Linked DNA regions of Rhinolophus ferrumequinum. The protein of the gene in region 4 interacts with the protein of the main gene of each other region in a pairwise test. Links are inferred from orthologs where the notes say so. Each region holds a gene or a part of one and is shown on either strand. Other genes may lie near its edges.

The links.
Region 1: the proteins of BAG6 (region 4) and SPP1 interact in binary tests that used the Homo sapiens proteins (3 or more experiments, as listed by UniProt). The link is inferred for Rhinolophus ferrumequinum from reciprocal best matches to the Homo sapiens genes BAG6 and SPP1.
Region 2: the proteins of BAG6 (region 4) and KLHL12 interact in binary tests that used the Homo sapiens proteins (3 or more experiments, as listed by UniProt). The two-hybrid records come from large-scale screens. The link is inferred for Rhinolophus ferrumequinum from reciprocal best matches to the Homo sapiens genes BAG6 and KLHL12.
Region 3: the proteins of BAG6 (region 4) and ATXN2 interact in binary tests that used the Homo sapiens proteins (3 or more experiments, as listed by UniProt). The link is inferred for Rhinolophus ferrumequinum from reciprocal best matches to the Homo sapiens genes BAG6 and ATXN2.

What each region holds. Positions count from the first base shown.
Region 1 is NC_046288.1:41,878,518-41,886,458, forward strand, and holds the start of SPP1 (osteopontin), read left to right. Parts: upstream 1-4,927; 5' UTR 4,928-5,084; intron 5,085-6,174; 5' UTR 6,175-6,188; coding exon 6,189-6,242; intron 6,243-6,354; coding exon 6,355-6,393; intron 6,394-7,941. UniProt on the Homo sapiens protein: Major non-collagenous bone protein that binds tightly to hydroxyapatite. Appears to form an integral part of the mineralized matrix. Probably important to cell-matrix interaction.
Region 2 is NC_046310.1:165,672-172,982, forward strand, and holds the start of KLHL12 (kelch-like protein 12), read left to right. Parts: upstream 1-4,303; 5' UTR 4,304-4,442; intron 4,443-6,826; exon of another isoform or gene 6,827-6,860; 5' UTR 6,861-6,899; coding exon 6,900-7,094; intron 7,095-7,311. Other genes in the region: ADIPOR1 (adiponectin receptor protein 1), read left to right, coding at 1-179, 472-600. UniProt on the Homo sapiens protein: Substrate-specific adapter of a BCR (BTB-CUL3-RBX1) E3 ubiquitin ligase complex that acts as a negative regulator of Wnt signaling pathway and ER-Golgi transport.
Region 3 is NC_046308.1:6,921,738-6,929,557, reverse strand, and holds the start of ATXN2 (ataxin-2), read left to right. Parts: upstream 1-4,816; 5' UTR 4,817-4,948; coding exon 4,949-5,157; intron 5,158-7,820. UniProt on the Homo sapiens protein: Involved in EGFR trafficking, acting as negative regulator of endocytic EGFR internalization at the plasma membrane.
Region 4 is NC_046286.1:2,146,829-2,154,499, reverse strand, and holds the start of BAG6 (large proline-rich protein BAG6), read left to right. Parts: upstream 1-4,671; 5' UTR 4,672-4,810; exon of another isoform or gene 4,811-4,986; intron 4,987-5,451; 5' UTR 5,452-5,464; coding exon 5,465-5,578; intron 5,579-6,703; coding exon 6,704-6,821; intron 6,822-6,949; coding exon 6,950-7,146; intron 7,147-7,385; coding exon 7,386-7,439; intron 7,440-7,596; coding exon 7,597-7,671. Other genes in the region: APOM (apolipoprotein M), read right to left, coding at 501-526, 923-1,021, 1,196-1,294, 1,382-1,455, 1,723-1,877, 4,414-4,530. UniProt on the Homo sapiens protein: ATP-independent molecular chaperone preventing the aggregation of misfolded and hydrophobic patches-containing proteins.

The DNA.
Region 1 (7,941 bases), on a different chromosome or scaffold from region 4:
ACAGGCAGGTGTGGATGGGACTGGAAGGGTATTTTAGAGGAGGTGGGAGGTGCAATGTGAGCAAAGGTGTAGAAACTTGAAATCGCATGGCCTATTGGGGAGCTCTGAGTAGCTGTGTGCTTATTTCATGGAGTATAAGGAGGGACTGGTGAAAGATAAGACTGGAAAGATGAAGGATGCCAGATCTCAGAGGACCTCATGTTCTGCAAAAAAATAGCTTTCACCTGACCAGCCATCTTGGTGCACAGGAATCATGCCTGAGGTCAGGTGTAATCCATTCTGTCTGACAGCAACTTCCAATAGGACCTACAGGAGAAGTTCTATTGAGAGCTTTATGAAAGCAACAGAAAATAATAAACTTAAGAATTATATACATTTTGTTATGGAGTTAATTTTTTTCATTACTGCATAAATATTTGTTGGCACATAAACTGCTAAGGGATGAGCATATATTAGAACTCGCATTCTATTGAGGAATTAAAACATTAAAGAACTCAAGCTTTAATTACTAATTATTTTAAATAATATTTTTAAAAAACATAAATGTTACACCATGGAACAGGGGGCATTAACGTGAGGTATTCCTTAACTGGAATTAGTAAAACAAACAAAAACCCTTAGCCAAGTGTGGCTGGAAAATATAATTTAGCTGCTTTTTCCTTTGTTGAAGTTTCATAAAAATTTATTTGAGCCCAACTAATGACATATGCTGTGGAGCAAGATCTGAAATGCTCCTAGCCACTTCTTTTGTTGTCCAGTTTTTGTCTTCTTTCTTCTGTTCTGCACTGAGATAGTCTCTTTTTCATATCAACCTTATACTGGATCCTCCACTAAAAATTACTCAAACATCAGATTTTTAAATAAAAATTCTTATAACCTGATTTCAATGGATGCTTTTCTCTGCTCAAATACATTCTGCAAAATGCCTGTCACTGATTGCTTAGTGCAGCAAAATGTATTTTCTGTTCTAACATGGGCCCCCAACTGCTAGACTTTCTATGTACATCTCTAGCTGCAGTTTTGCACCTCCCCCACCCCTTTTGGATCTTCTCTGATTTCAGGCTCCTGGATTGTTGCCTGTGTTGCTGCAGGTAGAGTTCTATGCTACCATGATTGATTTTGGATGGGAAGAGAGACTTCCTGTTTTAGCTCAATCCCAAAATACTCATCCCTTCAACTCCAGTGTAGACACAATGTCCCCACCCTATGCCTTCCCTTTCCACAGCTCCACTGAGCTTACTATTTAACCACACCCCTTAACCTCATTGGTTACTCCAGTTTCAAATTTCTTAGTTGAGTTTCATGAATAAATGGGCTTCATAAGGGTAAGAATGGTGTCATTTTTAGAAAATATTAATAATTTAAGTCCAGTTTAGAGACTCTATTATTTAAAGAGTGCCAGAATATCCTCAAAGTTAATGATCATATACTTTAATAAAGAATGCTGCTAGATTCTTGAGTATTGGCAAATATTAGCGATCAATATGTGATATATGGATTGACACATGGTGCCCATGCACTGTAGTGATCAGTAAGAACCATATGTTCATAGTTCATTATTATGGATGGAGAGTGAGTGGTTAATCATTAACAATCTATGGAATACTTACTTACTCTGTAACAATGCTGTGGATCTAAAATGAAACCGTTTTTCTTTTGTTTGAAGTGAAACTAATGTTTATCAATAGTAAGACCATTTCATCCGCAACTGAATTTTGTTTACTAAGTTATTGAACAATGGGATAAAAAGTTGTATGGTGTTTCTTTTTTGTATTACTGAAATATTTTAATTTCATGTCTGAACTTAAAAACAGCACCTTTTTATTTTTCACCCTTGTTTCCCTTCCTCTAATAAATAATGTCCCTTTTCCCTGGACTGTAAATGATGAATATTGTGGTAGGCATATCTATTATTGGCTATAATGCCCAACTTGTCTATGATAGTTTGGTGATGGTATCAAAATATCAGATTTTCAGCTGAACCTTGACTCAGAGGGAAAAAATAATTATTTATAGAGCTGAAAGAGTTTAAACAGTTGATTATACTATACTAAGTAAAATATAATTGGAAAAATCAAATAAACTAGAAGTTAGTAATAAAGTTCACCAAAACAGTGACTTCTGGACACTTAAATTTTTATTATATGGGAATTTTCATGAAATTCAAGCAAAAACAAAATGTTCTATCTGTTTCCATATGTCCTCTTATAGTGTCTATAGATTATGATCACAAGCCAGTCTTCATTCCTGTTAACAACTAAAATTTTTCCTTCCCACATACAAAACTTACAAGGACTTTGGTCATTTTGAGTTTTGATTCTAACAACCAAGGATCAGCCTAATCAAGAATGGAAACAGTGTGAAAATGTTACAGATCAAGCCACTGTTTCAAATCATTTAAAATGTTAATTCTGACAGTTGGAAAATGTTACTCAGAAAAAATCAGGTGTCAGCAGCATGTTTGATTACAAAAAGTAAGAAGCAAGAACCTCTTCAAATGTCAGAATAACACACTATCCATTTCATACTTCATAGAACTGCCTTCATTATAAATCACGTTATCTTCTCATCTCTGAAGCATCCCAGACACATTCTTTAACCATGAATTCATAAGACTTTACTCTGAGTGAGACGTCGGGATCAGTAACCTTTTGAGTGAGTGTGGGAAGTGGGAAAGGAGACGATAGCGGCCTCCTGGGAATTGCTGAAGGCAACCACTGAGCAGAACAAGGATGCTTTGGTTCTCTTGGTCTCTGTGTCCCCTGTTATTGTGTAGCGGGTTATTGTTGGGAAATATTTACTCACCTGGCATTCCAAGAAATGGAGCCCTCCCCCTGCCCCCCAGCTGTTTGAGAGTTCTGTCATTAAATAGATGAATGTTCTAGCCAGCGGAGTAAAAAAAAAACTGACAGACCAGATTGTGGTCTGAAATCCTATTCAGAAATGCTGCCATCGTGTGGCACTTTGTAGTCATGACCGGAAGAGTCCTGGGGTGGGTCATATAGTTCATCGCAAGATGGCTGGCCTCCAGCAAAATCTATTCCTATAACTCTCTAAGTTCATATTAAATCATTTCCGTGGGCACAGAGTAAACCATAGTGAATACTGTGGAAATCTTGTTGTTTTTAGAATTTGTGAACTTCCCCCCCACTAAATTGACAACATGACCAACTTATGTGGGTGATGTGTTTAAAGAGAAAAAAAAAAACAGTTTTTAAAAGCGGAAATAAGAAGTCTGTTTTGCAACTTTATAAGCTGTGTGTCTTATATTTTATAGAGATAGCTGCCATCTGAATTACTAAAATGTGTGCTTAGAACCCACAAATCAATATCAATTCATTTGGAATACATACAATTTAAGAGACATATTTTCCCCTGAAATCTATGGGTTAGTTATACTACTAACACTGCAAGAAATCATTTTATCCATATTTATATTAAAAGCAATATTTGGTCAATAGAAGCTGACACCTTAGATAGAACTAATAATAAACGGGGCCATTTATCTTTAATCTTACTTCACACACAGATTTTACAATGGCGATATGAGGAAAATGAATAGTGGAATCTCCATTTCACAACTGAGAAAGGTAGATGAAGAAGTTAAGTACAAAATCTCAAGACAACACTAAACATTTAAATGAACTCAGAGCTGTGCTACCTCTAATTTCTATTTCATTATTCAAACTTCACGTGCAATTTTCTTTCATTCAAACACCTTTTAAATACCCAGTAAACTTTTTGGTAAATATAGACTTTTTTTTTTTTACAATTTCATATTAAGTAATCAACTTTATATATTCTGGGAGAAAAACTAGAAAAAGATGATTCAGAAATCTAATCCATTCCTTTAGAAGTGTGTAAATTACACGATTGATGTACACAGTTTAAAATCTTAACATCTAGTCTTATTCCAAATAACTCGTTCCACTTAAAGACATTGCAAATGATGAGGACCTGCTCCTCCTAAATTTCAGTAACAGTTAACACATACACAATGCTTAAAATAAGCATATAATATGGGCCAAGCACTTTCATTTTCCACATACTAATTCATTTAACTTCTTAAAAACCCCATGAGCTAGGTAACTGTGTGCATATGACAGATGAGAAAACAGGTGTAGGTCTGCTAAGTGATTTGCCCAAGGTCACACAGCTATTTAGGTGGCAGAGTGAAATTCAAAACCACTCACTCTCTGGCTCCCAAAGCAGCATTCTCAAAAAGTCACCCTGTGCTGTTAGACACCACTTTCCTTTTGCAGCATCTAAAGTAAATTACCATTCTTTTACATTCTTTTATTTTGTATAGCAAGTTATCAAATTAATCACCTCCATACTATTCAAACAGTGTGACAAAAATCCTTGAAAGGTCATTGTTAAGTCCAACTTAATGGGCATGAACATAGATCTTAATGTTATAAATACCATTTGTCTAAATGACAAGCTGCTGCATACTTGAAATGACAAAACCAAGCTTGAGTAGTAAAGGATGGAGGGAGGATCTCTGAGCTCTTTGTATACCTGAACAATAGCCGTGTAGCTCTTAAATAAGTATAACTGCAAGGCAAATGTAGTTGTATATATTACCTAATCTGTTATTTAAACTGAAAGAAGCAAGACCCATTCTATTTAATTTTATTTAAGATTTATTTGTATTAATATTTTTTCTTCTAATTCAGAAATTATAAAGTCTTTGTAAGAACTAGTCATTTTCCCCCTTTTTTGATGGGACCCCTAGGTGCCCTTTCATGATGCTAAATGCCATTCCCATAAAAAAAAATTTAGTTAATGATATTGTAAATAAGTAATGTTTTAACTTGTGTGTATGTGTGGGTGTGGGGGTGTGTGTTAACCACAAAACCAGAGGGGGAAGTGTGGGAGCAAGTGGGTTGGCCAGTGGCAAAAAAACCTCATGACACATCTCTCCGCCTCCCTGTGTCGGTGGGGAAAGTCTGGAGCAGCATTTAAATTCTGGCAGGTCCTGGTTGTCAGCAGCAAGAGAGGAAGCAAGGAGTGCAGCTCCATCTGGGACTGGACTCTCTTCTCAGGTCAGTTACAGTCTTCTGAGCCCGCCTCAGACCAAGGTAAGCCTGCAGTTTACTATTTTGCTGTTGTCCTATGCATTCAGTTTCAATTCATGGAGGTCAGGTTCTTAGGAAAAGAGTTTAACTGTACTGCTGCTGATCAGATTTAAATTGTTCTAGTCTTGAGTAAGCATGCCGGAATACAGAGGATAGGTGACCAACTATTTTGAAAGCCAGTCAAATATAAAACTTAAAATTCCTTCCACTGAGTCCTTAAAAGGACTGAAACTACTTCTTCCAATCCAAAAAAAAAAAAGTAAAATTCTGTGCTCCTGTGCAATGATTATACGTATTTCATTGTAAATGGATAGATGATTGTGAAGGCATTTAAAAGGACAATGATCTTTAGTGTTAATGTAAGGCAATGATAGCACAATTTTTAAAATTATTTGACTAATCCTATTTTCAAGGAAAAAAAAACCCTTTCTAAATATTTTACTTCTGTATTTAGCTGTTAAAATTTTCACCAAAATACCTGTTTGACACTATGTAGACTTATTATCACAAATAGAAAAGCTGTTGACTGTTTTCAATGTTTCCTTTTTTGTTTCAAATTCGAGAATAACTTATTTAAATAACTCATTTTAGAGATAGCTTCATCTCACCTAAAGTAGTACCTTTTTAATAATTTAAGTTAAAAATCACATTTGAAATGCATGCTGAAAAAATAGAGAAAGCAAATTTCTTTCATGGTTTTATTTTCTCTCTCTGTTTTTCTTCTCTGAAAAGTAAAGATTCCTATACTAGTTTATTATTTTAATTAAATTACTGTTGAGCTGTGTTTAGATTTAGATAGCTGGCCATATCATCTAATAATGGTATAATCTCTGAAAGTCTAAATTTAAAAGTTGAATATATAGACTTGCAAAATTCCCCTCTCCCTTGACTAATGGTGAAAGATGGAGAATAAGGGCGGCATTACAAATAGTAACTCAAAAGACCATTATGTTAAAAAGAAAAGGGTTCTCTAAGAAGTAGAAAACATTTTACAAAAAATATATTTTATTTGTGGTTATTTTGTAATGTGGTAGCATAAAAAGGTATCACCGTTTTAACCTGTGATCAAATATTCATTACAAATTTTTTGCAGGAAAAATCACTACCATGAGAATTGCAGTGATTTGCTTCTGCCTCTTAGGCATCGCCTACACCCTTCCAGTGAGTACTACAGAAGCTTAAAGAAAATTCCTCAAAATAAATAAGTTGTACACTCTCATGTACTGGGAACACATTCACATTGTAACCTTTCTTCATCTTTTCTGTTTCAAAGGTTAAACATGCCGATTCTGGCAGCTCTGAGGAAAGGCAGGTAAGCATCTTATAGGTTTATCATACAGTTACATGATTTATCCAACTGCTTCAAGAAGCACCACAAACATATTTGTTGCAATTTTACTTGTTTTCATAGTCAAGCCTGTTAATTTATAAGTATTTATTGACTGCCTGCTTTCATTCTAGGCCAATACCAAGCACAGTATAATTTTTAATTAAATGTAAGCTCCAAACATCAAACTAGATTTTTTTATTTAATAAAATAATGCTGTAGGCCATTATTATCACTAATGTAAACTGAGTTCTGTGAAGTTGTAAGACTTCCTTTCCAAGAGTCAACATATTGTTGTAGAAGTAGAAAATTCTGTCCTTTGTTTTACTTAGTGGAAGTTTCTTTACAATTCATCTCACATATTGGACAATTTATATGACTATAATATTTACAATATCTCCTAAGATTTTTGCTAAGAAGCCCATTATAAAAAGAAAGCCTATTTATGCTGTTTGCATCTATTGTGCTTGTCAGCTGACTCTAGATCACATTTTTCTAACCAAACATCAGCCCAAATCAAACTCTTTATTATAAGTTTTTGACCAACACCAGAGATGTACCTGCCCCTCCACAATAGATGAAACTGGGCCAGCCAAACAACAAATGGTCATTGTCCCAAGGAGCTTGGACAAAAAGACACAGAGTTCAATTCACATGAACGGAATAAAGGCCAATATAGAGTTGCCCAGAGTCACTGTGATTAGATTGCTTAATAAAGACACTAGGAGAGGTATTGTGTGTGGTTGGGTGTGCAAGTCAGTGTGTGGGGGTGGGTCTGTTTTCCAATTGATTTAAGAACACAGGTATTGAATCAAAACAATAAGCCAGAAAAATGAACATTTTCAGAGACGATAGAGGTCATGCAAGAATTAGTGTCTTTTTAATCGAAAAAAAATATGGCACATGAAGCCATGGCAGTATAAGTTATGAAATAATTATTAAGAGTTAAGTGAAGAGTTCAATCTTTTAAAATCCTAGAAATTTAGTAGAAAATATGGGAAGTCTATAAGGAGATACCTCTGAAGATGAACACTGGTTATTTGTGAGTGTTATAATTATTGGGTGGATTTTAGCCTGTTTATTTTGCTTAGCTTTATTTTTTTCATTTTACATTTTTAATTATAAATTTAACCTATAAATACATTCTCCCTGAGCCAGTATTGCATGTATCATCAGGATGTATATAACAAATATAAATTATATTTCTATGTAATACTTATATAAATATATTTTTAAAGGAAAAAAAAAGGCAAACTTTGAACCCATCTAGACCAGTAGCTTTTCGTACCTTTTCCAGCAAGGAACCCCTTCTTTCAGCAAAAACTTTCAGAGAAGCCCAATCCAAAGCTGCTCAGGTTACAGCCAGCCATAGGGAAACACAAAATGATGGCTGGTTTCCTCCCTCCTCTTCTCCGCCCAACCCCCAAACACCTTGATGGCTGTGAAGGAACTCTATGGAACTTTAGCGTTCTCATTCTCAATGACAGGGATTTGAGGTGATTGGCCACGGGTGATACATCCCATAAGATGACA
Region 2 (7,311 bases), on a different chromosome or scaffold from region 4:
TGGGCCTGAGCGGTGTGGTACCCACGATGCATTTCACCATCGCCGAGGGCTTTGTCAAGGCCACCACGGTGGGCCAGATGGGCTGGTTCTTCCTCATGGCCGTGATGTACATCACTGGGGCCGGCCTCTACGCGGCTCGAATCCCTGAGCGCTTCTTTCCTGGAAAGTTTGACATTTGGGTAAGAAGCGGCTCCTCCCTGTGATGGGTGGGGACTGGCCTGGAGTTAAAAGGGCAGTACGAGACTTCGGGTCGGGCACTGTTTGTGGTACATACATATACATGGGAGAAATAACCAACATTAACATTTTGGTGTATTCCTGACAGGACTTTTAAAATTTTTTCTACAACAGATATATCACTTTCATGATAAAAAATTTTAAGGTGCAACTAGGAGAGGTAAATGCTTTCTCCGCCTTACTCCCAGTCCTTCCGTGCCACTTCCCTAAGGACTCTTCTCGTTGTCCCTACAGTTCCAGTCTCATCAGATTTTCCACGTCCTGGTGGTGGCGGCAGCCTTTGTCCATTTCTACGGGGTCTCCAACCTGCAGGAATTCCGCCACGGCCTGGAAGGCGGCTGTACTGATGACTCACTCCTCTGAGCCGTCTCACCGGAGGGCGGGAGGGACTTCCCAAGTGCTTTTAAACACAACTTCTTTGCTGAAGTGACAGGAAGAGTCTCAGTTGTCTGTTTCTAGAGGAAACCTCTTAGAGAGTTGAGTCCGAGCAAGCTTCAGCCCACTTCCCACCCTGGGACAGTAAATTTTCCATTTCCCTGGCTGAGGGAAGGTGGGGGTGGCCACACGTCACCATGCCCCTCCTTGGCAGTCCCCTCAGCAAGGCGACTCTGTCCCTGCAGAGTACTTTGAAGCTCATGTTGAGATTTTACCCCTCCTCCAACCATTTTGGGGAAAAGTGATGAACTGGGACTCTTCGGAAATTCTGTTTCTGGAAGAAAAAGTCCCTCCCTTACCGCGTCCTTACTTTGTAACCTGGCTTATAACAGGCCACCGTTTTTGTAGCACACTTTTCAAAAACAATTGTAACCGGTCCCATCTTTCCAGGGCCTGAATCTGCTTACACAGCAGGAAGAATAGAGTCACCAACTTTGATGCAGCCCGGCTAATCATGCAAATGTGTCCAGGCTTCAGATAACTTGAGTTTCAATGTTTTTTTTTCTTGGCAGAGTAATGTAAAATTAAAAAGGGGAAAGATATTTAATATTTAATACTAAGCTTTAAAAAGAAATCTGCTATCATTGCTATGTATCTTGATGCAAAGACTATGGTGATAATAAAAGAAAGTACAGAAGACAGTTAGTGTCCAAAGACTTAACATGCGTGGTCTCAGCCCTCTGCACTCTTGTCCGTGGGTTAGAATCAGCAAAGTCATCTCAGGCCCTGCTGAGGCACACATCTGGGTCCTCGGCATTGCTCGGCCAGCACGCGTGGGCCGCGGAGAAGCCGACTGAGTTCCCAGCATCTGCTCCTCAATACAGCCTTGTTTTTCTCTACTCATTGCACAGAATTTGACGAGAGAAATTCGCACACTGTATCACTTTGTAGTCGTGAGAAGGCCCTCAGAGGTGTCAGGCTGCGTCCCTTTTGAGTATCCAAGGTCAGCACATCTGAGAGCTTAGTTCCTTTCCGACTGCCTGCCATGCTTACGGTTGTGTCGTCAGGAGGTTAGTCCATGCTTTCTGTGCAGTCGTACAGTGTCACCTCCCAGCTAACGGGGGCAGTTAGGAATCTTCCTGAGTTACAAAGATGGGTTCACGTCAAGGTTAGGTTTGTACACTGGATGAATAAGGGATCCTTTTAAAGAATAATCTGACTAGGCTGACAAACAGGAAGTTTCTCAACCTCACGTGGTAATCAGGGAAATGCAAGCTAAAACCAAAGTGTGACTCCACCTCCTCCTTCCGACTGACAGATTAGATAGAAGCCCTGACACTGAGTGGGTGTGGGTGTGGGATGCCGTTGGGAGCAGGACCAGGGTGTGTGGACATGCGTGGCGTGTGTGTACGTGTGGCACCCCCAAACAGTTCATGAGAGGCCATGAGATGGACCTGAAGTCCACCCCGGATTACTTCATTAAAAAGCACTTGTTCTGACCACTAAACTGTTTCCTTGACAGCTCACGGCCTGACTTTGAAAAACACTACTCTTGAGCAACTTGGCTTGTATCAAAAGACTCACTATAGCTGTGTGTAGGCACAGCACACAGCAAACGAGGCAAATGTCCACAACTTGAACGGAAAAAGAAATCTTGGTTTAGCCGCACAATGAAACACGACTTAGTTACAGTGACAACAACACGGTTGGGTCTCAAAGATTAGGGGGAGTGAGGGGAGCAACTTACGGAAAAATCTATCAGGTTCAGAAGTTTGCAAAACCAATGCTAGTTTAAGGGTATGAATATGGTAAAAATTCAAAAGGAAATGTTAATTTAGGCGCATGGTGCCCCTGAAGGGTAAGAACTGGAGGAGAGGAGGGACACACTATTTCAGAACTTAGCTCGTTCCTTGTAACTAGCTGGTCAGCACATGGTGTTCTTAAACCATGCGTATTTTTTCTTGCATATATGTAGTAAGGGTTTAACAAGATGAGCTGATGGCAGAGCACACACTGGTGACCTGCAGGGTGCAATGTTCACAAACGCCTGTACGCTGGGGACAACCAACTGCAGCTCAGTGGCAGCTGTGCCCTTTGTGGAGGGGTGTGCTCTCTGGTTCACCACACTGCCTAGTCCCTGGAGGCATGTTTGCAAGCTCTCCTGTCGCATCCGATCCAACGCCATCTTCCACAGGAACTACGGAGGCCGGAGCGACTGAAATCCGGTGTTTTCTCATTTTCAGTAGGAGACAGGACCAGGGAAAGAGGGTCTGAGACAAAGCGTTTCTTGAGCATGTACTTTGTACTTTGCGTATGTCATTTTGTATCTTTTTAACCCTGTGAAGTAGGTGGTATTATCCCATGCCACATGTGAAAAAATTAAGGTCCCAAAAGACTAAGACTTTTTCCCAAGATGACAGATAGGATCAGAGCCAGTATCTGAATCCAGACCATTCTGAGTTAAACCCCATGTTCTAAAGCCTCCGAAAAGTTCAAAGGCACAAAAAGAAACAGAGGGAAAAACCTCCCTCCTGCCCTGTCTTCCAACCAACCAGCCACATCCTTTTGCCAAAGAAACGAATGTTACCACTTCATTTTCAATCTTTCCAAATGCATTCTATACATATACAATCAAATAGGAATATATTTTCCCAACCTTTTTATGCAAATAATAGCAAACTAGATGCACTGTTCACAACTTCAGGGTATTGGAGGGTGCGCTCTACTTTATTGAACCAGTCCCCTACTTACGGAGGTGAAGGTGGTTTTCCATATAACCTACGACGACCTTGCACACACGTTACTTTACGTGTGCAAGAGTGTGTATGAAGGAGAAAAGATAAAAATCTCAGTTAAGGATATCTGCATTCGTAACTTGAGTGAACTTTTCCAAATGCAATAGAATTTGTACCACTCCTGCAGTTCACCCCCAGCGTGTGAATCAGGGATAATGTGAGATCGTAGGGAGATGATGCCAAAGATGGAAAGGAAACACTGTAAAATTAGATTGCTGCCCACTTGCCTATGGTTTTATCCCTAAGGAATCAAAGGCCCGAGAGGGAAACAGTGTCATCAAACACAATGTTTGGACAAAAATGGGGTCAAGGAGCCTGATCCCCTTGCCAGCCAGTCAGCTGAGTGCGCCCAAATCGGTCAGAAGCGAAATCCCTAAAGGGGACGCCCCGCGCCCCGGAGCTGGAGACGTCGGCAGACGAAAGGGGAGATGAGGCCTCCTTGGACTTCTGATGGGTTCCTTCGCACGTCCCTCAGCGCAGGGACCAACGTCCGGCGACCACCAGTCCCTTCCACGAACTGTCTCGGGGTGCGAGCAGCAGAGAATCACCTGCGGGACGGCGGCGGGCCCCACTATGATGCAGAGAATGCGGAGGTCAGGGGGTCGCAGGGCGGCCCGAAAGGTCACAGCCTGGAAGACACCTGCAGCCTCCGTGGCCTTTCTCGCCGTGAGAGCGTCCCTGAAGCCCTGGCAGGTGAAACGTGCCCCCGGCCATCAGTGCCGTGGCTCCCGGACCCTTCGCGCCCTCCCAGCCGCGGGATCTCGGGGACCAGCTCACTGTCGGCCGCCGCGGGAGGCCGGGCGCCCAACACCTGCGGGTCACGTGCCGCCGCTGCCCCACGTGACGCGGCTCCGGGAGGGGAGGGGCGGTCCGCGCTCTGCGACGTCATCACGTCGCGCGGCCGCGGGGACGGCACCCGACGAGCGGGGCGACGGCTCGCGAGGCTCCGGGTCGGGGCGGCGGCGGCGGCGCCCGGGCTCCTGAGCCGCCTGCTGGCCGCGCCCATCTCACCCCATCCCCACGCGCGGGGCGCAGGTGAGCTGACGGAGGGCGTGGGTGGCGGTGGGCGCTTCCTGCCGGGCCCGACCCGGGTTCCGGCCCTGCCCGCCTGTCCTCCCCGCCGAGGGCACGCAGCGGAGGGGGCTCGGCGCGCGGCGCTCAGCTCCGCCCGCCGGGACCCCAGCTGCGGTGCCCGCCGCGTCCCCGGTGCCGTCGGGGGACACTTCCTCCTCCTCCCGCCGGGGTTCAGCTGGGCCGGAACCTGACGCCCTCCCCGAGTCCTCCATGGTGCAACCCCCATGCAGATGTTATGGAGGTTCTGGGACAGTGGCCTCGGGAACGGGAGGGCGGAGGAAGTGCCGAGACTTGGCCCGGCGAGGCAGGCATCCCCACGCCGCGCTCGAGCTACCGTCGGTGTGACGGGCACGGAGACGTGGCCCGAGCCTGTGGGGACCCCCCAGAAAGCCTCCACAGTCCATGGGCATCTGTTAGACCTTTCCTCCCTCCGCAGCGTCGCAACTCAGTTGGCTTCAGGAAAATCTTTTTGAAAACATCATATGCTCTGATGACTCACCTCCTTTTCTGTAAAGTGGGCCCCGCAGGGTTGCTGGAGGGATTATCTCGAGTGTCACAGAGCAATACGCTAGCTGTAAACAGGAGGACGTGCGATGTCGGTTTTCCCGTTCAAAAAGTGTGGTGTGAGTTTTGGACTCTTGAAGACCCTGGTTTGAGGTTTATTCTTGGATCATTTCAGAAAGTTTTGGATTCCAACTAAGACAGACTTAACCACCCCGTTTCATTCCCCAGAGTTGTCATTGATGAAGAAAAGGAAAGAAATAGTGTCACAAAGCCTGTCACGTACAGCGCAACACGGGCAGTGAGAACGAGAAGGGATGGCGAAGGGTTAAGAAAGAAACAGAAATCAACAGAGTTTTGAAAGGGGCCAAGGGTCTCCCAGCCTCAAAGGACTGCGAGCCCCGAATCGGGCCACCTTGTGGCTTTTATTGATTCACATACAAGGAAGTCGCATTGTTTTCTCCACGGTCTGTGGGTCTCATACACCACACCAGAAAACTGGTTCAAACCGATCACCCTTGCCTGCCGAAAGTCCCATGATGTATAATTATTGTTTGTACCTCCCCAGGGGACAAAACCTTTATGTTTAAAACATACTGAGATGGAGAACTGATGTTATCACATCTAGAACCACTTCCCAAGCAGGTTGTGGGAAGGAATACAGCCACAGAGGCAGAAGCTCTCCTTAGACGGGGGAAGTGGAAAGCTGTACCCTCCTCTATCAACCCCGTGAATTCTCCTGGTGGTCCCCACACAACTGTGCCTGTCTTGGGTCGTTCCTTTCTTGAGGAATCTTACCTGTCATTGGCTAGCCAGCCATGCTTTGGGGCCAAACAAGGAGATGGCATGAAAGGAAACAATGTCCCTGAAAGGAATAGTCTCACAGACTCTTCTTTCTTTTTAGGGGTAGGCACGAGGGGACAGACGGGCAGGCAGCTGCATGACAACAACCATTAAGAAAGTACTTTTTTCATTTTTTGATGTGTAATCTATTACTACGTTCATTCAAGTGATGCGTGCTGGTGAATTTTGCAGGTGACTGACTGTGGCAGTAAAATTAGTGGGCTTTGGCTAAGTTTGTATCCCGAGAAGGCTGTTTGTTTTGGTACAGAGAATTACTACAAATATTAACTTGTTGGTGTCGACGGACATTGACTGATAGCGTAGAGTAGGAAGACCCTTCTGGAGAAGAGCTTCAGGCAGGACCTTAATCAACTGGAAGCCCACACACAGGCCTGCGCGGTTCGCATCACTCAGTGTAGGTAGCGGGTCCTCATTGGCAGTTTCGTTTTAAAAGGAATCCAGATACATTTGGAAATCACCATAAATGATTCTTTGCCTAGTTCTTTAGAAAAAAAGTTTATTTTCACTGACTGGCTTTCACAGCTCTAAGGTGGAGGCACAATTTCTCTTTTCTTGAATGCATTGACTAGGCACTTACTGTACACCTGCCTGGACAGAAAAAATACATAACACAGGATCCCCACCCTCTCCGCACTTCCCCGTGTAAACTACTCGTGGGTGTTGAATAACATGTACGCGCCTTTAAGAAATTTTGTCTTTTCATCATTTTATCATTGGAGATAACAGCCTGTTGTAGATGAGCCGGACGTGTAGTTTCTTTCTATTTATAATACAGTTGAGTATTGATTATGATAAATGTCAGGAGGTAAGCGTACTCAGAGAAGAGATCATTTTTACTTGGGTTACTTAGTGGCTGGATTGTGGGGGTGATGCCAGGAATGGGGGTGCTCTCTGTTTGTTGTTTGGTTCTCAGGAAGCCTCCTTGAGCTGTAACGCTAATTGAAAATGTCCTGTCCCCACCCCCAACCCCCATCCTTCAGATATGCCCCCTCTTTTTTTCTCTTGTATTTGCAGAATCCCAGGGCCCATTTCATTCTTTTTCCACGTTGCTTGATGGGAGGCATCATGGCCCCCAAAGACATCATGACAAATACTCACGCGAAGTCCATCCTCAACTCGATGAACTCCCTCCGGAAGAGCAACACGCTGTGCGACGTGACCCTCAGAGTGGAGCAGAAGGACTTCCCTGCCCACCGCATCGTGCTGGCTGCCTGTAGCGACTACTTCTGCGCCATGTTCACGAGCGAGGTGAAACTTGTAACCTTGCGGTCGGCTCGCTTCATTGGCTCAAATCGCAGTTCGACAGAACAGTGGATTTCTGTAGGTGGGATTGCCATGTTTCCCCAAAAATAAGACCTAGCTGGATAATCAGCTCTATTGCATCTTTTGGAGCAAAAATTAATATAAGATCCGGTCTTGTGTTAGATAAGACCGAGTCTTATAGTAAAATAAGACCGGGTCTTAT
Region 3 (7,820 bases), on a different chromosome or scaffold from region 4:
GAGTTTCATTGTAGGGCTCACGGTATCCTGTAGCAAACTTAACAAGATCCCATGCTAACGGCAGTTCAGCTGCCACCGGGGCCGCATGCATCCATTTTACATCCCCTCCTGAATTCTCCAAATGGTGCATACTTCACATCTCTGGCTTCCCATAAATCTATGGCCCCTGAAACAACAGGCTGCCCACAAAATTCACCCCAAAAGGGGGTGGGGGTGTTGGTGAATGAAAACAAAAAGGGAGAAAGAGGAAGAACAAAAAGGCTGAGTTTCTTTAAATTTCTGGCTCTGTACAGCACAAGCATTTTCCAATGAAAAATAAAGAATTCTTTCTTCTGTGTCTATTTCAGCTGGCACCCAGCTTTGCCTTGTGAATTATGTCACCGCATCCTTAATCTGTCCCACAAGGTAAAACAAAATGAGCAACTTAACAACTAGATGTGTGCTTGTGTGGAGGCAAGGGCTCATTTAAAAGCTTTTCAAATAATGTTGCTGTATTCGCTACTATTTTGCCACACACCCCTCAGTTTTTTCAAACCTATGGGAAAGTTGTTACTTCACACTCAAGGTGTATAAATAATGCCTCCGGGGGGAGCAACTGCTCCCCCCCCCGTCCCCCCTCCCCACTTTTTATTGCTTTTAGTCTTTTGGGATTCCTGGGTTGTCTACAAATAGATTAGCCTCTAAGAATTCTGAGTAACCATGGTTAGAAAAAAACACTGGTTTAATTAGCCATGGTCCTATTTTTGAAATTACATCTGCTCACTTTCTCTCTCTCTCTAAATGAGGATTGGTCTTTGCAAAAACTTGAAGAGGATGGATGGGGGTGTGTTGGGGGGGTTGTGCATGTTAGTTTTTATTTGAATTAATTTTCATGCTTTTGAAAGCGAAATCAAGAGTATTCAGTGAATTATGTATCATCATACATTAAACATGATCAAATGAAGAGAGCTGAAAAGAAATGATTGCAGAAAAATGAATTGCTGGGAATACTGGATCATCTGATGTGTGCTGCTGTACCAAGTGATAGCAAATCATTCTTTGCAATTCTGTTTTGCATGGCTACATCAGTTTTTCATCCCCAGACTTGATTAATCATTGAAGTGATGAAAATTATAAGGCCACATGGCTTGCTGAAGGGTCACTGAAAATCAGAAAGCAAGTACAGAATTCATAGGACTAGATTCCCAAGTTTGAAAGTCTTCATATGGTTTCTCACTTGATATTTTTTTCATTTCTGAAATAGTGGTAGAAATGGCCATCACTATTTTAGAAATTAAAATGTTAAGAATACCTCTTAACATCAGAACTCTTTCAGGACAATGTTCTTCATTGCCTTTGATGACAACTCTGCAATGATCCTTGTTGGTTTTGTTTAAATGGCTACCTGAAAATCATTGGGGGTGGGGGAAGGGGCATTCAAACATTCAACTTTTCCTGGGTCTAATATTTGTTCCCGACTTCAGCATTTGTCTTTAAAGAATTCTTAAATTCTTTAAAAGAATGCACAGGGAAATCACAGGAAGTGCACTTTTTTGGGGGGGGTTCATCTATATTATTATAGTTATCTATTGGCACACACAAATTACCCCCCAATTTATTAACTTAAACAACAAAAGGGTTAGGAATCTGGTGCAGCTTAGCTGGGCATCTCTAGCTCAGGGTCTCTAACAAAGCCTAATAAGTTGCATCGACCAGGGCTGAGGTCATATCAAGGCTTGATTGGGGGATGATCCCCTTCCAATCTCACGCACACGGCTCCAGGCAGCCTCAGGTCCGTAGCTGTAGTGGGACACATTAGTTCCTTGCCATGTGGGCCTCTCCATTGGGTGGCTCACAACATGGCAGCTGTGTTTCTTCAAAGCAAGTGAGTGAGAGAAGGCAGTCCAAAACAAAAGCCATTGTCTTTTTATAACCTAAACTTGGAAGTGGAAACCTGTAATTTTTTTTCTAACTTTTTGTTAGAAAGAAGCCACTAGGTGCAGCTCATATCTAAGTAGAGGGGATTTCACAGGGTCTGAACACCAGAATAGGATTACGCAGGGTCATCTTAAAATTTGCACTTTACACCATTTTGTCTTAATGTGCATTGTTTGGATTTTTCATATAAAGCTAAAGCCCTCTGACATTACAGTTGTTGTTAAATAACCATGACTTCAGAGGTCTAGAATTCAAGTGAAGGGTTTGCAATAATAATTTTCCTTGGTTTTGGGTGGTAATCCTCCTTCCATAAATAGAAATGGGGGGTTGTATAAAATAGAATGACAGTAAAGATTCTCTCGGTTTCTATTTTAACATGAAAGCACAAATCAAAATTTAATGATAAACGCTCAAACATTCCAAGTGTGAATGTGAAACGGCACAGTCACTTTGAAAGAGAGTTTGATAGTATCTTTAAAAAGTTAAATATAAATTTACCATACCACCCAACATTTCATTCCTAGGCATCTACTTATGGTCCACATGACATATATTTACAAATGTTCATAGCAGCAGCATTCATAATACCCAAAAACTTGAAACATCTAAATGTCCACCAACTGGTGAGTAGGTACACAAAATGTGGTATATTTATACAATGGAATATTACTTAGTGACAAGGGGTGGAACACTGATACATGCTATGACACAGATAATCCTCAAAAACATTATGCTAAATGAAAGAAAGCAGACAAAGACCACCTATTGTTAGATTCCATTTATATGACATGTCTAGAACAGATAAATCCACTGAGACAGGAAGTAGATTAGCTGTTGTTGGGGCTGAGGATGGGAACCAGGAGTAACTGCAAAGGGGTATGAAGGATCCTTTTGGGGTGAGGAAAATGTTCTGAAATGAGTGGTTATGGTTTCACAACTCTACAAATTTACCAAGAATCACTGAATTGTATACAAAGGGAGTGAATGTCATAACATGTAAATTATACCTTAATAAAACTGTAAAACTATATTTTAAATGATACTGGGTGAAAACTTGGGCTTACTCAGCATAAATGAAGTCAAGTTCAGCTATGTCAGTTTCAGGCCTCTCATTCCACTTCCCTTTTTCTTCCCATCTGTCTGAAATTAGGTCCTAAGATTGAATTCTGGGAACCTGGTCCCTGATATGGCTAACTGTCAAATCATTAAACCACAGAAAGTTGATTGTATTTTTATTATAGTCCTTCTATTTTTTTTCCCCATCTGGTTTTTTTAGCCTCAATTTCCTTTGGGTTAATTTTTAAAGGATTTTGCAACTACTGGTTTAAAAGAATGCTACTTCCCCTCCCAACCCACACACGCCTCCTTTTTACCTAAGGTGGGAGATAAAGCTGATTTCCTCCTTTTCAGGTGTTTGCAGAATATAATGAGCATTTCTGGCTGAATTATAAAGGAGATTAATTTCAATTTGGCTACTGGAAATTCGTGGTTTAATCATTCTCCAGGCTTTTCTATCTCTCTATCTTTTTATCTGACAATTCTGGGAGATTGAGGGGGAATTTTGGTGTTTTCCTCCTATCATTTCCTAAAGTAATTGCACTTTTTTTAAAAACTAGATTCTTCACTTAAAGTTATCTAGTTGCTTCCAGTTCAATTACAACACATTTAAAAAACGGGTTACTGTGCTGGCTAGCAAGCTAAGTTAAAGTAAAACTTCGAAAGGGGCCAAGGTCTAAAGTTCGCACATTCTTGTGAAGTCTGTTTTGTTTCCACCGAAGGAGACCCCATTATCCATAGCTCTACCAATCACGTACATTTATTTCCTTTAGAGCCTCATGAATGAGGAAAAAGAAGTTCAAGTGAGGGAAAATGGGTTCAAATGAAGGTCAGATACCCAAAAGAGTTTTCTGGTTACTGTGTTGCTGGGGTGGAAAAAGTGGGGACAAGGTAACCAGATGTGGGTGGCCCCAGGAGGTTGTGCGATTCCAACACAGTTGGTCTTGGCAGGAAAAGAGATGACGGCCTGTCTTTGAGACACCCAGTTGACACAGCCTACTGTGTGCCAGGTGCTGGGGATACAAAGAAAACTTGTGAGATGCTTGTGTTGAAGGTGCTTTAAACGTAGCAAAACATAGTCTCGGCCCTGAAGGCCCTTGCAGTCCACCTTTTAGGTTGCATCAGGTGGGTGCAATCGCGGGTTCCCCCAGCAGTCTGAGGGCGTTGAAGGAATACTGGGGGGCGGGAAAGAAACGCTGCCCTCCCGTCCTCCACAGTAGGCCAGCCCTGCAGGCGAAGACAGACACGCCCTCTCCAAAGGGCAGACCCGCCTCGAGGAGGGCGGATCCGGGCAGGGCTGGCCGCCGGGCCCTCACCCGACCCCCGCGGACGCGGCCCAGCGCGGCGCCCGCTCCTCACGTGTCCCTCCCGGCCCTGGGGCCGCCTCACGTTCTGCTTCCGTCCGACCCTTCCGACTTCCGGTAAAGAGTCCCCGTCCCGCACCTCCGCGCCCACCCGGCACCGCCACGCGGCGCCTCTCTGTGCGCGGCCCCCGATGCGCTCGGCTGCCGCAGCTCCTCGGGGCCCCACAGCTACCATCGAGCCTCGCCGCTTCGCCGCGACTCGGTGGCCCGGGCGGCGCTCGTTCCCGCGGCCGGTGCGGCGGGGCGGGCGGGGCGGCAGCGACGCGACTCCGGGCCCGTATCCCTCCGCCGCCCCTCCCCCGCCCGGCCCCGGCCCCCCTCCCTCCGGGCTGCGCTCGCCTCCCTCCGCCTCAGACTGTTTTGGTAGCAACGGCAACGGCGGCGGCGCGTTTCAGCCCGGCTCCCGGCGGCTCCTCGGTTTCAGCGGGCCTCCCCGCCCCTTCGTCGTCCTCCTTCTCCCTCTCGCCGGCCCGGGCGTCCCCCCGGCCGCGCCAACCCGCGCCTCCCCGCTCGGCGCCCGCGCGTCCCCGCCGCGTTCCGGCGTTTCCTCGGCGCGCCCGGCTCCCGGCTGTCCCCGCCCGGCGTGCGGGCCGGTGTATGGGCCCCTCACCATGTCGCTGAAGCCTCAGCAGCAGCAGCAGCAGCAGCAGCAGCCACCGCCGCCTGCGGCCGCTAGTGCCCGCAAACCCGGCGGCGGCCTTCTCTCGTCGCCCGCCGCCGCACCGTCGCCGTCCTCGCCCTCAGTCTCGTCGTCCTCGGCCGCGGCTTCCTCCTCCGCAGCGGCGGCGAGCGCAGGCGGCGGGCGGCCCGGCCTGGGCAGGTGGGTGTCGCGCCCCAGGCCCCTCTGCTCCGGGCCCGAACAAGCCCGGGCCTCGCGTCCCCTCCCCCGCGGCCCTCACAGCCGTCCCCGCCCCGTGACCCGCTGGGCTTGGGGGGGTGGGCTGGGGGCCCGCAGTGGGGGTGGGGCTCCCGTTCCGTCTGGAGCCTGGGGGGTTCGGTGGGGGGCGCCGCGGGATCCCTCTGGGAATGTCAGGCCGTGTCCAGCCTCCTGCAACACCCGCACCCCCTCCCCCAAACGGTCAAGATGGAAGGACTGGGCAGCCGCCTCCTCTCCATTTAAGTGTTTGGGAGCGGTTTACAGGTCGCAGCAATTGTCAGCCCCGGTTCCACCTTCCTTAGGCCTCCTCCGCCCCCAGTGGGGTGTGCTTGGGCAGCGCACCCACCCCCAGCTTAAATACTAATGTGGAAGGAAGGGTCTTTAGGGTTGGTTCCGTCTTCCGAAACTTGCCAACTCCCCCATTGGGGAATAACGAGGGAGGGGGAAAGTTAGGGCAGCGCCCCCTCCCTCCCCGTTAACGGGGCAGCCACCGGGCACATCTGGAATCGTTAGGGTCTGTCCAGTGCCCTCAACCTCCCCCTTCCCTGCCCTGGGAAAGATCGAAGGACCGGGTTGGGGTGGGTGGGCAGTGGCCCCCCCCGCACCCCTCCCCATTTAAATCCAAGGCGGCGGCGGGGGCTCCAGAACTCCGTGGAATCGTCCCGCTCCGTGCAGCCTCCCGCAGCGTTCCGCCCTCCCCCACCTGAGGAAGGGGTGGGGAGTGCCCGGCCCCCTCCCGGCCTCCCTCCTTCCCCCGCAAGGCCTCCCCGGCGCGGGTGGTGGCCGAGCCGCATTGCTGTTCCGAGGCCGCGGAGAAGGCGCCTTTGAATAGTGGTGGGCGAGGGCCGGCCCCAGGCGTGCGTCAGAAGCCCGGGCCGGCCTGGGGACCTGGCGTGGTGGTGCTAGTGCTGGTGGCGGCAGGGAGCTGGCACGCTGCGCATTTTGTATCAACCCCCGCCCCAGTTTTTGAAATTTCGAGGGGAGAGGGATTGCAGCAGGAGACATGGTGGCAGAAATGCGGGTGTTTACTTGCGTCGTCTCCCCATAACCCAGGTTTGTGGTAGACACTGAAGGCTCGGTGTCGTCTCAGCTAACCGGGTCTGACTGGAGGGTGTGTTTGTGCGGGAAGGCCTGTGGGGCGGTGTGTGTGTGTGTGTGTGTGTGTGCGCGCGCGTGTGTGTGTGTGTGTGTGGCGGGGGGGGGTTGTCAGTTCGTATTTCACGAACCAAGAAAATGCTTAGTGTTCAAAGCAAATGTCAATAGACTCCATTCCATTGTGGCCAGTGTCCTTAACTTGGGGAGTGCCGCCAGCGCTCACCAAGGGCACGCAAGTCCATTTCCCCTGTGCCCCAGCCCATCCGTGCTGCCGGCTTTGCCATGCCTCCCGTAGGCCTAGGTGGGGTTGACAGGGTTGGTGACCAGGGTCCTCCTCAAATCGACATCCTGGCCTTTAGAAGGTGGGATAAAGGGATTTTCTTTTCCCCGTACACTGAGTTTTCTTTTTAAAAACAGGTTTTCAGCAATCCATTTCCAGAGAATTTTCATTTATGGCAGGAGAAGTTACCCATCAAAATGAATCTGAGCCGATTTTTAAGGAATTCTGCAGCCTTCAATGGGGGGAATGGGGACATTGGGTTTTTTGACTCCTCCCCCCACCTCGCCCCGTCAGTTTTTCCCCTTCTCAGAAACACCTACAAAAAGCTACTTAGCCAAACTAATTCAAATGAAATGGCTATTTACCCAGTTCTGTCCACTAAGGAGTCTATAATAGCTTCATTTTCTCTGTGGCATCCACAATGAAAAATGGAAAAAATTTAAATACAATTTTTCTAGTAAGGATGCATTTTTTTTCCTTCTTTGGCATCAAATAGAAATCTGGCACATAAATTCAACTCGTTCAAATAGTTAAAAAGTAAAAGGTTTTTAAGTTGCGTTGGCTCTCCTTAGGCTTTGACTTTTCACGTGAGGCATAAATTATAGCCCTTACTCTTTTTGATATGTGAAGTTTTGTTTAATGTATTGGACCCACATAATGTGAAATTTTACTCTTCTGCAGATCTTTAGTTAATGTACTTGTAGAATTTCTTTAGTTTGGAATCACTGTTTTTGAATCACAGTTACAATTTCTAGAGTGTCCTCACTTAGGTTTGTGTGTATGAGCAGTTAAAAGAAGTTTCTGGGGCCAAGGGTGGAGAAAGAAAATGCAGCATTGTGTTTAGAGATAGCAAAATACTCTTGAAAGTCTAGAAATTCACATGTCCGCTTTACATAACATAACATTTCTTCATATTTGACTTCTGGGGTTTTGGTGAATGGTGGATTTTCATGACTTTCAAAAATTTATTTTGTCTTTAATTGGCATATATATTTCAGAAGGTGGCTCTTTTAGGACAATGTAACCACAATATTAAAGTTTGGACAAAATTTTACCTTAATCCTTTTCTTATTTTTACTTTCTACCTTTTCATTTTTATGTAGTTTTAGTGATTGTGTATGTTATTTGGTGTTGAGCTTTGTTTTCTCCTTAACTTTCTTTTTTTAGGTTTCTTCTTAACCATTCTATTGTTGGGAATTGAGTTTCCACAGTTTTGCTAATATTATAGGTA
Region 4 (7,671 bases):
CTGCTAGGTGGGTGGGTTTGGAGTCTGGATGGGGCACACAGGTGACAAGGAACCTGCAGTGAAGCTCTGGTGTTCCTGGGAGCCAGAGGGGGTGGGGACGGAGCAGATGGCATTGGTAGGAAGGCCAGCTTCGGGGCTGGCAGCCCAGACAGGCACTGTGGGGAAGCACTGGAGCTTGCAGTCCCCACGCGGGGGTTAGGGGTTCCCCACTCAGCAATAAATCACTGTGTCACACCAAATCCTAAATATATCACTACAAAGAGAGTTACTGCCACTCAGTGTCCTTCGTGATGCCGTCCAGCTGGAGATTTAGGTAGTAGAAGGTTCAGGAGAATTTTGAAATGGGGGGAGTGGGATTGATGTCTGGAGACAAACCCCAACATATGATGAGGATTGGAAAGCCATCTTTATTACTCTTGAAAGGGAGTCTCCAGCTTCTCTCCCCCACCACAATCTTAGCTCCCACTGAATCCATTTGGGGGCATAGATGAAGCCACAGGTCAGTCTTTGGACAACTTGCAGGCCTCTGGTGGGAGGAGGGAGAAAAGAAGAGGATGGAAAGGAAGTAAATCCAGGGACAGAAGCAAGGTTGCTGGTAATGGCTGGGGAAGAATGCATTCCCTCATTCCCTGTGTCAAAGAAGGGGTCTCGGTGACCTGTTTTCCTCTGCGTCTGCTCCTCTGCCCCCTTTATCCACTGCCAACTCAGAAACCTCTCTTATGAGTAGCCCAAAGCCCACCCTGGCTCCCTCTGGTGCCATCACAACCTATGACACAAATGGATGTGTCAACACACCTGGTGCCACTCTGATGATGTCAGCTTTGGGCCCTGCCCTCTGATGACATCACTTGTCCCTTTCATCCAGCACCCACAGAAGACTTGGTGAGTCCCAGTCCTCTTCTGTGGGACTTTACACTCTCACCTTGTTTCCTGGGAGTCAGTAAGAAGGCCTTGGAGTCCAGGCAGGAGGTCAGGGACCGGAATTCCTCCACACACTTCTCGGGAGGGTGTGGCAAGCGATCTGGAAGGGCAGAAAGGCCAGGCCCCATCAAACCCTCTACTTTTCAGCACCGCCCCTGGTGAGCACCTCCTGGAAGCATCCAGCCCTTCCTGGGATGATGTCACAGGGCCCAGAGTGAGGGACTCTTCTGCCCCTCCTGTGTTTCCCACCAACCCATCCTGCCTCCCTACTCACTGTAGAGGAGGAAGCGCTGATAACCCTGGCCCGTCTCTTTCAGCATGATTCCACCTGGGCAAGAGCTGGAGAAGAGCTTGGTCTTCATGTCTGGGCGGCCTGTCAGGGTGGGTTGGGGGGAAGTGAGAGGACAGAGATGCAAAACCAGGCAAGCCCAGGAGACTTGGGGAGCTACAGAGAACCAACCTTCAGTTCTGAGATCTGTGCTCCCTTCAGTAAGGTGGTAGATCCATTCCCGGGGCACACAGGACCCATTTTTCCTGCAAGGAGGAAAGACTGAGTGACATCCCCACCACACAGTACCAACCTTTATTCCCTCTTATTCCTTCTTGAAGCCCGGGTCCCCTTGGGTTTCAAGCTACCAAGGGATGGTTAGGCCCATCTCTCCGCAGAGGAAAACTAATAGAGCTGTTGAACTCAGTGGGCTAAAAAGAGTGAATATGCCAAACAGCGCAGCTTTTTGTGGGTGGGTGCTCACACTTTGGGCAGAGGCTGTACCTCTTGGTCCCTGCCCCCTCACCACTCACGTGCGGATGGTAGCATGGAGCTGGAGCTGTGTGGGTTCAGAGCCCACAGCCATGTTGAAGACAATGTTGTCCACAGGGTCAAAAGTCGCCAACTCCTCCTTGGTGGGAGCTGCCCCTGCGATGAAGTACCACTGGCCCAGGTGGGGCTCTGGGAACTGGAGAGACAAGGGGAGCAGAGGAGGGTGGGTCCCACTACAGGATTCATCTAACCTCTGTCAGGACAGCAAGACTTAGGGGCAGAGGTGTTGGCTGCCTTTTTCCAACTGGGGCTTGGATCCATGATAGGGAGTCATTAAATGACTTTTCCTCTTTGCCCTCAATCAACCTGAGTAACTACGCCCCCACCCCCTGCTTCCTGCCAATTCTACCATGTGTCTACATTGATGGGCATAGTACTGATATTTTTTTACTTGTCCTTGCTTTCATCATCACAACACTCACACTGTCTTCCTCCTTTCCTTTCCCAATGTGGCTTCCGGTCACCCTAGGCCACCCACTCAAGTCCCTCATAGCCCCCGCTATAAGCGTCCCCCTTTTCTCCATACCTCTTTCCCATCTACTCCCTGAGTTGTCAGTTGACTGTGCTCAGGGCACTGGTAGATGGAGTTAAGGAGAATGCCGTAGAGGTAAAGTAGAGCTGCCCAAATTTGGTGGAACATCTTCAAGCAATAGGGAGCTGGTGCTCTGCGTGCAGTGGCTGGTGCTTTAACTGTTCTCCGCTGGCTGCTCAGTCCACTCTGCTTCCAGCCCCCTTGCCTCAACCCTTGACCCTTTTACCTGCTAATGAGTAACTTCAACCTTGTTTTCCAAGTATGGAGTGGTTCGGCCCTTCCTCCCCCTGTCCTAGATGCAACCACTCCACAATACCCCCTGGCATGTTCAGGGTCTTTGGGGAATTATAAGGAAGCTGAGTCCTGAAGGTAGAAACCTGTGTTCTTTCAACCCATATCTGAGCTGGATGTCTGCTGTGTTGTGCAGCACTGAAGAGAGGTGGATTGATTGATTCATTCACTTACGGTAGCAAACTCTTTTGAGTTCCAGCTGTTTGCCAGGAACTCGCTAAGCCTTGGGGACGTAAAAATGAGTAAGACACAGTCCCTGGCCTTGAAGAAGTCAGTCTAAGGAAAACTAGCTGTGTAAACAAATCATTGCAATACAACCTGGTAAGTGCTTTAGAACAGATATGAATCAGGTGCTGGGGCATGGTTGATGGGAGGCTTTCTCTCTGAAGTTTATAATTGGGGAAACAACATGTACACCATCCAGAAAAGTTCACTGACAGATGAGTTCACTGAGTTTATTACTACAAGAGGCTCCATAACCTAGTAGTTAAAGATGATAGACATTGGTGTCAGGCAGAATGGGCTCAAACCCTAACTCTACCAGTTACTAGAACTTGGACAATTTTATTAATCTCTTATGCCTGTTTTTTCACCTGTAAATGAGTAAATCATCAATCTCATAGGCTTAAAAGAGACAATGCATAAAAGCCCTTAGCAAAGGCCTGCACATGGCAAGTCCAAAGTAATTATTTGGTAAAATTAATAGTAATGTTTGTAAAGCACTTATAGCTTCCGGTGGGTAATAAATTCTCAAATAGGAGGTAAGGAAAGAATTGTCAAGAGGCAGTCATTGGATAATGCCAGTTGAGTTGGGTGGAGTTAATGCAATGAAAAGGTGGCGCTTCCTCAATCGATTTGTAACTCAAGACTGACAAAAGATTTGTCCTGCGAGGTGAGGCAGGCTTAGGGTATATGAGGGTGCATTATACTATTATTTTTAAGCAATATTTGACATTTTAAATAATAAAAACCAATTTATTGGGGCAGTAGAGGTGCCTGACCCAGAAGGGTCTAGTAGGCCTGGATTTGTCAGTTTTGCCACTTACGTTGGCTAGGTGTACGCACTATATAAAATGGATGTAGTAACTATCTCAAGCGTTCAAAGGCTTTTAAATGTGACACTACATAAAACCCTTAGAAAACTGGCTGGCACAAACTAAGTGCTCATTAAACAGGTGTTTATCAGAACTCTTACCTGAAACAGTACTGGGACATGGGTATAGATAAACAACGAATCCCAGAAAGGCTGGGCGCCAGGGGCCGGCACGCCGCAGCGACGGGTAAGGCTGGGGTTGTGGCTGCGCAGAGGGGCCCAGACACTAGCCCGAGGGCGGGGGTGGGAGAAAAGGGCAGAGAGGTAGTAACTCTCTGGACCTTAGCCTACGGAAGCACTTTGGCGGTCCCTTCAATTCCCCAGGGTCAGTTTTGTGTTTTGGTCCAGTCGAACTTCATTTGCTCCCAGCTCCCAAACTCAGAGGTACCCCCCCGACACTTTTTTCTTTTTACAAAAGTCATGCAAGGTAAATCCTTAGTTTCTCCAAAACATGGCGTATTCCCTCGGCCGCGCACTGCCGGTGAGGAACATGGCGCCCACACTCCGCAAAACGCCCACCAGGCCGACCCGAGGTCAGGCCCAACGACTCGTCCGCATTCAACACAGCTCGCGAACCACCCCTAACCGCCTAAGGAAAGGGTGACTTCGGGAGGCGCCATAGGAGTGGCGTAGCGAGAGTGAGAGAGATGGAATTTTAGGTGGCCAGGACAGTGCCGTCTCAAAGTCTCTGCGGACTAACATAGGTTAACGAGACACAATCCTCAGTCGCCAAACTCCAAGATCCATACAACCGACCAAAGCGTCTTGAGACAGTCGTAGTCTCATCTGGTGATTTTTTTTTTTCCAGGCATTTGTAGTAGCCACCTCAATCTCCCACTGCACAAGCGCGCGCCCAGAAGAAATTAACAGCATCAGACGATGGGGCGGTGCCTAACTGTGTACGCATGCGTACTGCGATGCACGCAGGCGCAATACGGCCCCTCGGGCGACGGCGGCGGCGGCTTCTCGGGGTGCTCGGCTCCCTCCCATCTTGGCCGGCCCTGCCCGTCTCGCCCCAGGAACTCACTGTTTGGGGCCGCGGACTTTCTTGTCGTGCCCCAGGAAAGTAAAGCTTGGGACCTGGGGGAGCCGGAAGTTCCGCCTCGCGATTTCCAAATACTGTCGGGGAAACGGAAGTGGCCGTCCGTGGCAGGTTGGAGGAGACCGGAAGTGACGGTACCGGGGGGAAGTCGGAGGCGGAGCCGCAGGGTGGTGTGTGTGTATTTGGTGTGTGTTGGTTGCGACGCTCTGCTGGAGAACCGAAGGAAGGCGGAAGAGGGGGGCAGTCATCTAGCCAGTCTGGCCCCCCGTGAGTGTTCGTCATCTCGGGTCTGTCGTGACTTAGGCGGGTTTAATGGGCGTGGCGCGCGTGCGCGAAACCACTTTCTCCGCAGAGTCTAGCGCGACATTCCCTCCACCCCACTCCTCCCCGCTCTCGCGTTGTCCCAGGGTTTGCCGTCTTCTGGGGTCCTTGTTTCGCGACCGGTGATGACACTGGTCTCGCGCTTCCTTCCCTCCCTGCTTCCTAGCCCGACTTGCCCTCCCTTATTGTGATTGGCATCGTGGAGCCCCTCCCACCTCCCCGTCCCCTTAGCTCCCTGTGCGGTCCGTGTCTTGCCCATTGTGTTTTTCCCTGTGCCCCGGAATCAGAAGGGGGATGGGGGCGGGTGTGAGTGTGTGTGCTTGTGTGGGAGAAACTCTTTAGGTATTGGGGCGGAGACTCAGGCCGGAGAGGCTTCTGGGTATATAAAATCTGCTCTGGGCTACAGCGGGCCTCTCTCCATTCTTCCTTAGAGAGCTGTAGGCCATGGAGCCCAGTAACAGTAACAGTACCAGTACCACTATGGAGGCGCCTGACAGCCTGGAGGTGCTGGTGAAGACCCTGGATTCTCAGACTCGGACCTTTATTGTGGGGGCCCAGGTGAGACCCCAGTACTTCTGGAAGACAGTCATTTACCCTTTCTCTTGTAGGTCTCTTAGCCTGAGAGAAAAACCTGATTTTCTGGTCCTCAACTTTTCTTTCGTTGATTCCTTTGTTCATATTCTAGACAGAACATTTTCTGATGTTTCTTGTTGAGTGAGAAGGTATGGTTTCTGTTGAATGAGGTAGATTTTGTTTTGCCTTCCTCCACCTTGATAGAACTCATTGCAGAGGGAAATAATGGAGGGAGGAGGAATCTGTATGCCATCATCTTGAGTGAACTGCAGCTCAAAGGCACAGACATGGCTCCTGCCTTTGGGAATGGAAACAGAACACAGAGACCCCAAAGACAAGTGTGTCTTAAAAACAAAAATTGGTCAGGTCTCTATAGTGTGTTTTTAAAAGCGAGAAATGAGAACTGGTAATGCAGGTAGATCCTTAGTAGACTGTTGAGGGGAATAACTAATGTTTGTGGTATAATTTGAATCTTTGGAGCTCAACAACATGGATACAAGTATCCATATTACTACTCTTGTAATATTTGGAGACAGACTTGTGAGAGGTTGGTCTGTGGTTTTTAAAACACAGTGTTACGTGTATTTCAGAAAACCATGTAGGTTTTTGTGATTATATGTACGTAAGCAGCCTGATACTTCCCAAGAGTCAGTTGCCTAATTAGGAAAAATGTTTTTCTTTTTTGCTGCCTTCTCTCTTTTTCTTCCTTAACCTGATTGTCCACCCGATTTTCCGTGTTGTTACTATTATCTTTGGGATTAGAGTTGTATCATTTTGTGTTTGGGGAGGGATCACTGGTATCTTTAGACACACATTTCTTTGGGAGCCAGGCAAAGGAGTGAAGGGAATGTCAGTTGGCTTTTCTGTTTCTCAGCCATGTACTTTTCTCCTAGGCCTAGAAACTGAATTTCCTTATGTTCATTGTCTGTTTTTGACAGGAGTTGTCTGAGTTTGGGGCTTTGCGCCATCCTTACCTCACAGTCAAGACAAGTGGCTAGTGATTTTATAATGGGATGGTTTTTACGCTTCACCCCCAGAAGTCATTTGTCCCTCTTCTGTCCTTCCTCTTTCCTTCATTCCCTCATACTTGTGTGTGTCCCTTCTTCGCAGATGAATGTAAAGGAGTTTAAGGAGCACATTGCTGCCTCTGTCAGCATCCCCTCAGAGAAACAACGGCTCATCTACCAGGGACGAGTTCTGCAGGATGATAAGAAGCTCCAGGAATACAGTAAGGGGGTGGGGGAGGCATTTGAGAGGTTGAGGTAATTGCCCAGAGGGATGAGCTGAGATGGAGGGTTTACCTGATCATACAATGTTTTCGTGTTTGTTTTGTTTTGTTTCACTTTTTCTCCCCAGACGTTGGGGGAAAGGTTATCCACCTGGTGGAACGTGCTCCTCCTCAGACTCAGATCCCTTCTGGGGCATCTTCTGGGACAGGGTCTGCCTCAGCCACCCATGGTGGGGGACCCTCATCTGGTCCTCGGGGGCCTGCGACCTCTGTTCATGACCGGAATGCCAACAGCTATGTCATGGTTGGAACCTTCAATCTTCCTGTAAGCTTGTGTTCCACATGGGATGGTTTTTGTGGGGAAGGGTAGTTTTGGTTGTGGTAACAGCAGAGGGCTCTTAAGACAGGTGTCGCAGTCTTTAGATTGGGGTTGGAGGGCCCTGCGGTCTGCTAATAGCCGCAGTCTTGAGGGGAAAAAGGGTGGGGCTCCAGAGAATGAGTTGAAAGTGTGGGGGCCTCAGTATTTGGCTTCTCCCAGAGCAACTTCCCTTACCCTTTCCCCAGAGTGACGGCTCTGCTGTGGATGTTCACATCAACATGGAACAGGCCCCGATTCAGGTATCATGGGGCCTGGGAGGGTCAGCGAAGGGGATCTGGGAGAAGGAGGCCGTGAGGTGGGTCGGACCTGGTTGAGGAGATGCTGGGACCTGGTTCAGTAGGCTGTGGATCTCGTGGCTTCATTTCAAACCTGCCCTGATCTTCCCTCTCATTGTAGAGTGAGCCCCGGGTTCGGCTGGTGATGGCTCAGCACATGATCAGGGATATACAGACCTTACTTTCCAGGATGGAG